Linked DNA regions of Drosophila melanogaster. The protein of the gene in region 2 interacts with the protein of the main gene of each other region in a pairwise test. Each region holds a gene or a part of one and is shown on either strand. Other genes may lie near its edges.

Region 1 (5,477 bases), on a different chromosome or scaffold from region 2:
TGCTGCTTCTGCTGCTGATGATGGTGCTCCGTGCCCGTAAGTGTAACGCAATGTCGCGCCAAAGAGGAAATGAGGTCTGTGTGACTGTGCGCCAAAAGGGAAGAGGCCACACTGCAAGAAAATTCGAACTCTAAACTAGCAACTTATAAAGATGGCTTATAAAGACTTCGGGATTGCATTGCTTTTAAAGCAAAGTAATGCAAATTATAGTTTAGTTACAGAATTTAATATATTATTTATGCACATTTTGCATATTTCTGAATATTATATTTCAGTTTACAAAACAACATTTTTTCCAGTGCACCTGCACGCATACAAGCAGAAACCCACACCCATATGCAACAATGGCATTGCCTCGACAAGATTGGCTCTTTGGCTTAAGTGAGGACGGCACGCATGGGGCTCGGCTCTCTTTTCTCGAGGGAAGTGGGAACCAGGGAGCACGGATGGCTGCCAGGCAGGTCGAGGTCATGTCGCTGCTGATGTCGTGTGTGCGTGTGGTGCGCTGCTGGTGGTGGTGGTTGATTGCTCCGACTCTTTCCTCCTGCTCTTCCTCGGAGACCCTTCTTCAGACTGTTGCGCCGGCGCACGGCAACAGCACGAGGAAGAGAGACGCCCGAAGAGAGCGCGCTACTAGCTCGGGCGAAGATCCGAAGAACGTGTTATTGGACCCTAGTCAATACACTGAAAATAACTTTAAGGCATTCTACTATTATGACCAAGGTTAAAGAAGCTTTGATTAAAAATAAATTAATTTCTAAATATATAAAAGTTTCTAAAGTACAATAAAACTATTTTTTCTTTGTTTATACTTATCGTTGTAAGATACTTTAGATGCATGAGAAACTTTGGTTTCCAGAATGGACATCCAAAGAGTATGCTTCGAAACTTGTATATTTTAAAAGTAGTTTATATAAAGTATAGATTTTAAAAATTGTTCTCTGCCACATATGGATTGTTTTCAGTGCAAGAAGAGAGCCTCAGCGGCTTCCGCCCGATCCAATTTTTTTGATGTTGCACACGTGCAACGCCGAGGGAATCTTGCCACAAGCAGAGAGTGACCCGATTGATGCTTCGTTGTGATCGTCGGCGTGTAGGAGCGTTGTGATCGCAGTGCGTGGTGGCAGTTAGGGGAGGATTTCGATTTCGCAAGTGTACGGCACCAGCAGCTACAAAAAGGATCAGCTTACCTTGCGGCAAGATCATTTCTCAAGTGACTACCGTGCAGTGCGGAGCGGCAGCAGCGACATCGCAACATCGCAACTTTATTTACAAACAATCACCACACCAAATCAAAACCCATTATACACAATGGCCGTTCAGGGTCAGAGATTTATGACCAAGACTCAGCATTACCGCAAGGTGACCAAACCCCTCCTGGAGCGCAAAAGACGCGCCCGGATGAACCTGTATCTGGACGAACTCAAGGATCTCATCGTGGACACCATGGATGCGCAGGGCGAACAGGTCAGCAAGCTGGAGAAAGCTGACATCTTAGAGCTCACCGTCAACTATCTGAAAGCGCAACAGCAGCAGCGAGTGGCCAATCCTCAATCCCCACCACCCGACCAAGTTAACCTGGACAAATTTCGGGCCGGATACACCCAGGCTGCCTACGAGGTCTCGCACATATTCTCTACGGTTCCCGGCTTGGATCTCAAATTCGGCACCCACCTGATGAAGCAATTGGGTCACCAGCTCAAGGACATGAAACAGGAAGAAGAAATCATCGATATGGCCGAAGAACCAGTTAATCTAGCCGACCAAAAACGTTCAAAGTCTCCGCGAGAAGAGGATATTCATCATGGCGAAGAAGTCTGGCGCCCCTGGTGAAGGGCATTCCATATATACGCAACCAATTAACATTGATAGCTTTACTACTCAGTTTCATTAAGAAACAATCCAAGTTTTCCAAGGTCTAGTGTAAACATTTGCCTCAGAATCGTATTTAGTTGGTAGTTGATTTGATATGATGTGATGTTCCTGTGATAGTTCTTAAGTTCGTATTTTGTATTTGATCTCCCATAGGCTTACTGATTCATGTATTTAATTCATTGTAATTTATTTCATCAACTTTGCAAGAGCTTCCCCACCGAGCTTCCACTTAGCCTCATTAAGAACAAATTTTTGTGTATGTTTTAAAATTATATTTTTCGCTTTACACCATTAAGTATAAGCCATGAACATTTGAATAATAAAATGAACGTAAACTGAAATTTTAAAAGCTTTATATTATTTGGAATATGAACATAAACAAGGTTGCTATAATCCATAGGTACATAGGTACAAAATGTTATAATATATATAATTATTATATTATAATTATAATTTATAAGCTCTTATTTAGCTTTCTTCGATATAAAAGATATATCAGATATATTTAAATATATTTCTAAAATCTAATTTGAAATATATAGAAAATATATATTTTCCTTGGAATTTTAATAATTTATAATTCTAAATACCAAATACCGTTATACTGTCCACTTGAATTCAAGTCAATTGAACTCTCCCCACTCCGTTTACAAATCCCTGTAATGCACCACCCATCCAACCATCCATCCATTACAAAGGTCCTGGAACGCGAGCAACTTACAGCCGAAAGTGTGTCCACAGCGAGCCACACGCGAGCAGCGCTCCAGGATCAGCATCGCTGGCCCCTTTTACATGGCGGATGGAGGGAGAGGCAGAGGTCCTGCCGGGTCGGGGGGATCGGGAAGTCGTACACGCATTAAGCGCACTCGACGCACACGAGCAATGTTCCCACAGGATCATAACAGCCGACCAACAAGTGCAGGATGCCTCTGTCCTTGTCCCTTCCTCTGCCACCAAACACGAACCCGATCCAATTTGGAATGCCAACGGTAAACAGGAAGTTGTCGAGGAATCGCAACGCCTCGTCCTTATCCTTATCCCCATCCCCCGGCGGAGGTCCCCGCTATCGTGGGAACCCCGGAGGACCCCGATGAGATGGCATAATGCAAGCAGTTCATTATCCTTATGCCCCTCACCCTGCCATGCCATAGTCAAATCATAACACACAAATCTAGAAACGGCAGCTGTTCGCTCTGCAAATTCCCATGCCCATGGCCGTGGCCATGCTCGGCTGCTTTTTGCGGGCAGGTGAGCGAGTCGATGTGAGAAACCGAGTAGGAAAGTGTTTCCCACGATCCTGGCAGCGATCCTGCTCCCTGGCCCGTTTGATAAGGGTGCCGGGGCCAACAATAAGAAATCGCCCGAACAATAAGGAGCGGTCTCAAGAAGCGGAAGGGTCGGTACCGAGCAACCCTCATGCCAGCACACGAAGCGTGTCCCCGTCCCTTTTGCTCCTCGAATGCCAGCACACACGACGACGACGACGATCCCTTTGGCCCATTTTTTGGGGGTTGTTTCTGGCCAGCTATATAAGGCCGATCACCGAAGGTCTAGCAACACACAACGACTTCGACTGTCGGAGCAGCAAGAGCTCAAAGAACTCAGCTTACATCGAAACTACAAAAAGAACAATAAGAAACACACAAAATGTCGTCGCTACAAATGTCCGAGATGTCCAAGACCTATCAGTACCGCAAGGTGATGAAGCCCATGCTGGAGAGGAAGCGTCGTGCCAGAATCAACAAGTGCCTGGACGAGCTAAAGGATCTTATGGTTGCCACCTTGGAGTCCGAGGGCGAGCACGTCACCCGTTTGGAGAAAGCCGATATCCTGGAACTTACCGTCACCCATTTGCAAAAGATGAAGCAGCAGCGTCAGCACAAGCGGGCTTCCGGCGATGAGAGCTTGACTCCGGCGGAGGGCTTCCGTTCCGGCTACATCCATGCCGTCAATGAGGTCTCCCGTTCACTCTCCCAGCTGCCCGGCATGAATGTCAGCCTAGGCACTCAGCTAATGACCCACCTGGGACAGCGCCTCAATCAGATCCAGCCAGCAGAAAAGGAAGTCTTGCCGGTGACCGCTCCACTCTCCGTGCACATCGCCAATCGGGATGCCTACTCCGTGCCCATTTCGCCAATCTCCAGCTACGCCGGCAGTCCCAACTCCAATACCAGTTCGACCAGCCATTCCCTGTTGACCACCATCGATGTGACCAAGATGGAGGACGACAGCGAGGACGAGGAGAACGTCTGGCGTCCCTGGTAGATAGGATTACTTCACACCACAACTGAAAAAAAAAAAAACGAAGGAGAGATCATAGAAAGTAAAAGTCTTCCGAGTCACTGGATTTCCACCAGTCGACTCCCACCTAGTTATAAGTAAACACCATAAACACACAAAGCTTTAGATGAGGACGCGCAGTTCATGTGATAACTAAATAAATAATAAATTATATAGCTAAAATTGAAAGATCACGACTTTTTCTGCCACTATCTAGTGACTCACATGCAAATTGCTCAGACACTCCCATGTCCAGACAGTTTCCAATTGTCTGCGGTCTAGAACGGAAACGCTAGAAACGCAATAGCACCTCTCTCTGTCCCCTGTAACTATTCGATCGCCCCACGGATGCACATACACGATCGTCGGACAAAAGAAAGCGAAAACAATGCCAAGGCCGAAACAAGAAGAATTAGGCAGAAGAACGAGAGAAGAAAGAAGTCCAAAGTCCAAAGCCGGGGCTACCGATACCGGGACATAGCCTATAGGCCAGTTGGTGGTTGCAACTCCAACACGTGTGCGGACAATAAGCGAAGGTAACAGAAAATATTAGAGTCTTATCTTTGAGCGTATCTAATCGAGTTACGACAATGTCGCTCAGACTTAGAAGAAAACAAATGGGCATAGAGCCGGCAAGGAACCCGAAAAAAAAACCGAAAACCAAAAAAGGGATCGAGTCATCATTCATCCCGCATCCGTCCTGATTTCGCTTTGTTCTCCTCAATTTTTTGTTGCCGTGATTCTCCCTGGCCACTCGGATAGAAAATCGTGTGCACAATGGTCAAGGTAAGCTATGGGCACATAATTGCTTCGGATCAGGTAAATGACTGCCTTGCCCTAGGGCAACTTTAAGATGGAGGAGCTCCAGCCGGGGACAGGATATCGGTTTTTTTGTTGTTTCTTTTTTATGGGCTCTGCCCGAGCCTTTTTTGATTTTCGTTTTTTTTTTCTGATCTGGCTGACCCAGCATCATTTGGTTATCTGTGTGCCAAGACCAGTAGCCGATTCACAGACGCCTCTGTCTTAAAAATCGACGCAGGGCAGATCGAGGGAATAGTCAACGAGATCGGTATCAGGATTGGCTTGGGACTAGTCTGTGCTGGCGGGGTGTAATAAATTTAAAAAGGAACTAAATTTATAGAGATTTTTCAGCTGATTAAAATTCTGTTAACTTGCTAAAGCCGAAAGTAGATTATCTTTAAGAAGATCTTCTTCACAACAGCCCTAAGTGTTTATACTTAATTTTACATTTCCGTCCTTTTTGTTTTCTTGTGTGCCAGCAATTATTTATGGAAATTAATAAGATTTATAGCTTATGGTTA
Region 2 (5,231 bases):
TTCGTGTGCTCGTTGTACTGCCAAGGACCGTCGACTGTCCCCAGACGACACACGGCCAGTTTGATGCCCTGCCGATCGGCCTCCACGCAGCGCTCGCCGACGCCCAACTGGCCAGCGGCATTGAGCCGAACCAGTTGATTATTTCCGCCTCCATGGCAGTATGTGAGGCCCATGATGGCCGGCGGCTGGTGGCCCATCGAGTCCAGGCATCCGTCGGAGGCCACCGAGCGCAGCTCGCCCCAGTGCAGGTTGGCCGGCAGACCCGGGAACTTGTCGTACACATCGTAGGCGATGTGGTCCATGAACCACTGGAAGCTCTTGCAGTTCAGTCGCTTCTTCAGCGCCAGTTGCTCGCTAATGTCGCCCATGTCCAGGTAGCGGGCAAGCGGCTCGCGCGTATAGAAGTACTCCTTGTGCGTGTCGTCGAACCACGTCTCGATGACGCGCTTGTAGTTGATCGTGATCAATGGACCCTTCTTCTTGCTAGCCAGTTTGCCGAAATTGTAGGGCATAAAGCCGCGATAGACGTGACCCACGCGAGAGCATGGCACCCACTCGATGCTGCCGCCACACTGCCAGATCTTGAAGCTCAATTCGAAGTTCTCGCCGCCCCAGACCAGCAGACCCGGATCGTAGGCGCCCAGCTCCAGGAAGTACTCCCTATTGATGGCGAACAGGCCGCCGGCGTGCGTGGGACTGCGATAGGGTTCCGAGTTGTGAGCACGGCGGCGCTGCTCGCGACGTGGCACCTCGTTCTCCTTGTACAGCATGCCCCATTCGAAGATGCCGCGGAAGTGGTTGTCCGTGCCATAAACCGGCCGGTACTCAAAGTTCTTGTGGTCAATGCCATCGATAATGGGCACTGTCATCACAGTGCGATCCCGGTAGATGGGCGCCAGCAAGGGCGGCAGCCAGTTGGTGTTTACCTCGCAATGGGCGTCCAAGAAGACGATCACCTCACCTGCGGGATGCAAAGCAGTTTAGTGTTTGTGTGGATATTTATAAGGTTGTGGGTTAATATGATGATTTAAAGGATGATGCTTTAAAATAGTAATTTGTAAATTTCTATGCATACTGTTTATGCTAAAAGGCTTGTTTGAAATCGACGATAATCTTGCTTCAATTGCAATGATAGGCAATTCTATTATGCTGAGAAAATGTAAAAGAAATTCAATGAGTCTGCAGTTTAAAGGTTTATCATTGCCACAAAGCGGAACGTGAAGTTATCTTCAATTCAAATTCCAAATAGCTGGCGTTTCAGCGTTTGATGCAAACATCTCAAGATAAAACTATTGTTTTCCATACAACACGTTCTTTTAACTATGCGATAAGCCGTCATGAGTTATGCAAGTTATGCAAGAACACATAACAATATACATAAATGAGATATGGGCTATACGCACCTGTAGCCTCCATGGCTCCCCTGGATCTCGTTCGGATGAGACCTTCGCGCTCCTTGTTCCTGATGACCTTGACCAGCCCCTTGAACTGCAGCACATACTCGTCCAGCTGGCTGCGCAGGTTCTCCTTGTCGGAGAAGTCATCCACCAGGATGATCTCGTGCAGCATGTGCGTGGGCGAACGATCGATGACCGAGTGCACGGTGCGCATCAGCACCGAGAAGCCCTCGTTGTGGAAGACAATGATGACGCTCGTGCGCGGCAGATCGAAGGGGTAGTCCCAGTGGCGGCACTCTTCGAGCCGCGTGTCCCGCACCGATCGGTGCATCGATATCTCATCGGAGCAGGCGATGTTCATGCCGTACTCCATCTCGGAGGCGTCCGACATGTGCTTCTTGTCCGGCGACAGGCTGTGGGCCTCGCCATTCTCGCCAGGCCCGCTACGTGGCTTCACATCTTTCGGCTCAAAGTTGCCAAGGCCTGAAAAACGCAAAAACAAATTGTGAGTGTGGCGCGTGCAAATTACCTATGCAAGCTTACAGCAATTGTTTAAATATTGGCCCAGCCACTCACTGTATGCGCTTGCAGGAGGTGTGGGTTATAATTTCAGACTTATGCATAAAGGCGGGGTATTACAGACCAATAATATGCCATCATCTAACCATCTTATGGTCATATGGAATATTCTACGACTAGAATTAGCATTTGATACAAAAGACTAAAGACACACTAGTTTTGGTGGCTGTGCAGTAAAAATGACTTTTATGAGGTTATTTTCTCACTCTATCCGAATTTGATAGTTGGTTGGTTAGGGCCATTACAAAGCCGGTTTTGGAGAATGTATAATAGAATGCGATAAATATTTGAAATGGGCTCGTAAGTTAGACTGGGAATAGACTGTACGATATGGGTTGGAAAAGGTTATCCTTTAACCTCCAACCATACTTTACTCACGCTAAACGTGGTAATAAAGACTTCTTTGAATACTATGTAGCATACATGGCAAGTAATTAATTGGTTAAAACGAGCAAAAGCCGGTTTTAAGTGATATAAAGCAAAGATTACTGAATTCTTTAGCTGGGTTTGCAGTAAGCAAACAACTCGGTCTTTTCAACAATGATATGGTAACTACTCTGTATCCTTAGTTCTGATGATAGTCCTCCATAATAAAATTGTATAATACGTGAGTGAGGAATCTTAATGGCAAGGCTCACGTTATGGGTGACACAATCCTATTCTTTATCCTGGTCAAGGGCTGATATTGCTATCCTCGATCCTGTAGCCACTTACCATCGACCAGCTTGGGCACCTCCCTGGGCCTGCCCTCCAATCGCTGGTGGGCGAACTTGGGTCCGCCGAAGCGCGTGTGATACGCCTCCTGGACGCGCTTGTGGTGATCGCTCCAGTTGGCCAGCAGATACAGCAGCGGCAGCAGTACCAGCAGGCACAATGCCAGCCGGCAGATCCGACCGCTGCGGATGGTGCTCACGCGCATCTCTCCCTAATTCCGATTCCGATGCCCAGTTCCAGATTCCAGTTACAAAGTTCCAAATCTGTTGACGTGTCTAGGTGGCCAGAAAGAAAAAGCACGGCGCGGGAGACGGGAAGCGGTAAGCGGGGAGCGCGGAAAGGTGGCCACAAAGCAGAAAGAGAACAAAAGAACCACTTTTGGTTCGGATTCGAGATGCCGCTGAATGATCAAAGGCGCCCCGCCGATAATGACAATTACAAGTGCTGGGGCGAGAAGCTAACTGGAGTACACCAGCTCGTCCGCCTGAGTGATGCTTTAACTCGGTGCGGAGCAACTTGCCGGCGAAAAAGCGCCGCTGGCTTTGAGCAAATTGCGAGTGCAGGTGCACGAATATTCGCGGTGCAAACGTAAACAAAAAATGGTAGAAAACGATGTTCAACTGGTAAGAACGCGTTATGCCGTTTTTTCTATCATCGCCCAGGCGTTAGGGCTAAATTAGGCACCAGCAGCGATAGGCGGCTGGGCGATAACACAGGGTGGTGAAAATGGATTTTTTTTATGTATGTGCGCAAATAAGTCTAAATGCTAACTGAAAGTTATAACGAAACGCTTGCTGCTGTTGTTTAACTATTCGATATGCCCTAGTTCCATTTAGTGTTAAATATGTTTCAGCGCTGCGCAATTCAACTTTAGGTGGCTGTCATCGATAAAGGCCACAATCGATAACTCCTTTGTTTATGCCAGGGCGCAAATTTGTAAATTTAACCTAATGGGCTCACATCAACTCCACTTTGCCGTTTTTGGCTCCTGCGGCTTTGAAGCCGATACGCTGGTGGAGATCTCCGGCCCAGGGAACAGTGGCAAAAGCCTGGTGCTCCAACAGTTGGTGGCCCACTGCCTGGTGCCCTACAAATTCGGTGGTCGCCAGTGGAGCGTCCTGCTGATCAATCTGAGTCACAAGATCAACCGTGAATCTCTGGCCAAGAGCATTAGGATGGAGCTGAAGGCGTACTCTGTCGGCGAAGTGATTGCTGCGAAATGCCCCACGGAGGAGCAGCTGGCCGAGATTGCGGGCGAGTGCATGAGTCGCGTGCGATTCCTCAACTGTTTTGCAAACGATGATGTTTCCACGTCGCTAATCGACGCCCGCTACGCGATCATCAATGATCCTGGCATACAATTGGTTGCCATGGACACACTCAGCGAATTCTACTGGCTAGATGAGCCTAAGATTGCCAAGAGAATGTCCATGTATCGCCACTATCGATTGCTCCAGGCGCGCCTGGAGAAGCTCTGCAAGGATGCCATCGTCTGCGGCATGTACACGGTGGAGTCTGCCTTTCTGGAGAATCGTTTTGGCGAAAACTTGCCCGAGGCTGGCATAAAGTACCATGTCAGGATGCAGAAGATTCAAAACCAGATCCTCTTGAATGGACTGCCGCTGTCGTTTAGCAATGGAATTCATTTGGATACAAATACTAGCAAGGAAATTACTGAGGCATTGCTGACTCAGCCCAGTTAACATAGTTAAATTATTATTATTAATCTTAGGACAAAATGATGCTAGGAACTGAAAGAAGTAAACGATTGTATATAGAGTATATAGAGTTGATTAAATTGTATATAGAGTTGATAGGTTAAGAAAATTGTATATAGTTTAACAATTTAACTTTAATAATATCTTCCTTTTAGGGATTAGAAATTATATTTGTTATTACTCCTTTATTAGACAATTTCAAGGCCTATGAGTGAGAAAGTAATCTGTGCAACTAATTAAGTTAAAAAAAAGGTATAACTTCTACATTATCTAGATAGTTACGAACTCAAATATACTTTAATTTCCGTGATATCTTCCTAGTTTTACCCGCTCGAACAAAGAAAATTATAGTCCATATAGATCTAGAAGGAAAGTTCGCTTTTATGACTTATTCCATTCAGTAATATATTTAATATTATATATCAGTAATATTATCTTAATTAAAAAAAATACAACAGTTCTTTAAAATTGTGTTGAAACCTTCACTATGTTCTTTTTTTGTTTTTGAAGAAGGCCAACCCTACCAGAATTATACTTAAAACTAATGATTTCTAAAAGCTATACATAAGTAAGGTGGTTTTGTTTAGCAGTTTTTTTTTTCGTTTTCGTTTTCCTTTTTTATCGTTTTCTTAGCATTTTAAGAAGAAGCAATATGATGGTGTATGGTAATGGCAATTAAAATGGAGAGGAGGGGGGGGGGGGGGGCTTTTTAATGTTATCCGCCGATTGATTTTGGTAGTGCTTAAAAGCCGGTAAATTAGTAAAAATTATTATTAAATACAATCATTAATTTAAATGTAATTTCAATAAATAATTATCTGTT

Evidence for each region.
Region 1: the proteins of Xrcc2 (region 2) and E(spl)mgamma-HLH interact in a two-hybrid assay, tested with the Drosophila melanogaster proteins (one large-scale study listed by BioGRID).

The regions. Positions count from the first base shown.
Region 1 is NT_033777.3:25,996,421-26,001,897, forward strand, and holds E(spl)mgamma-HLH (enhancer of split mgamma, helix-loop-helix), read left to right. Parts: upstream 1-3,430; 5' UTR 3,431-3,522; coding exon 3,523-4,140; 3' UTR 4,141-4,341; downstream 4,342-5,477. Other genes in the region: CG43116 (uncharacterized protein), read right to left, coding at 1-111, 333-472; E(spl)mdelta-HLH (enhancer of split mdelta, helix-loop-helix), read left to right, coding at 1,312-1,833. UniProt on the Drosophila melanogaster protein: Transcriptional repressor of genes that require a bHLH protein for their transcription. May serve as a transcriptional regulator of the Achaete-scute complex (AS-C) genes. Contributes to the neural-epidermal lineage decision during early neurogenesis.
Region 2 is NC_004354.4:18,496,542-18,501,772, forward strand, and holds Xrcc2 (X-ray repair cross complementing 2), read left to right. Parts: upstream 1-3,585; 5' UTR 3,586-3,640; coding exon 3,641-4,393; 3' UTR 4,394-4,717; downstream 4,718-5,231. Other genes in the region: Pgant7 (polypeptide N-Acetylgalactosaminyltransferase 7), read right to left, coding at 1-961, 1,404-1,880, 2,691-2,895.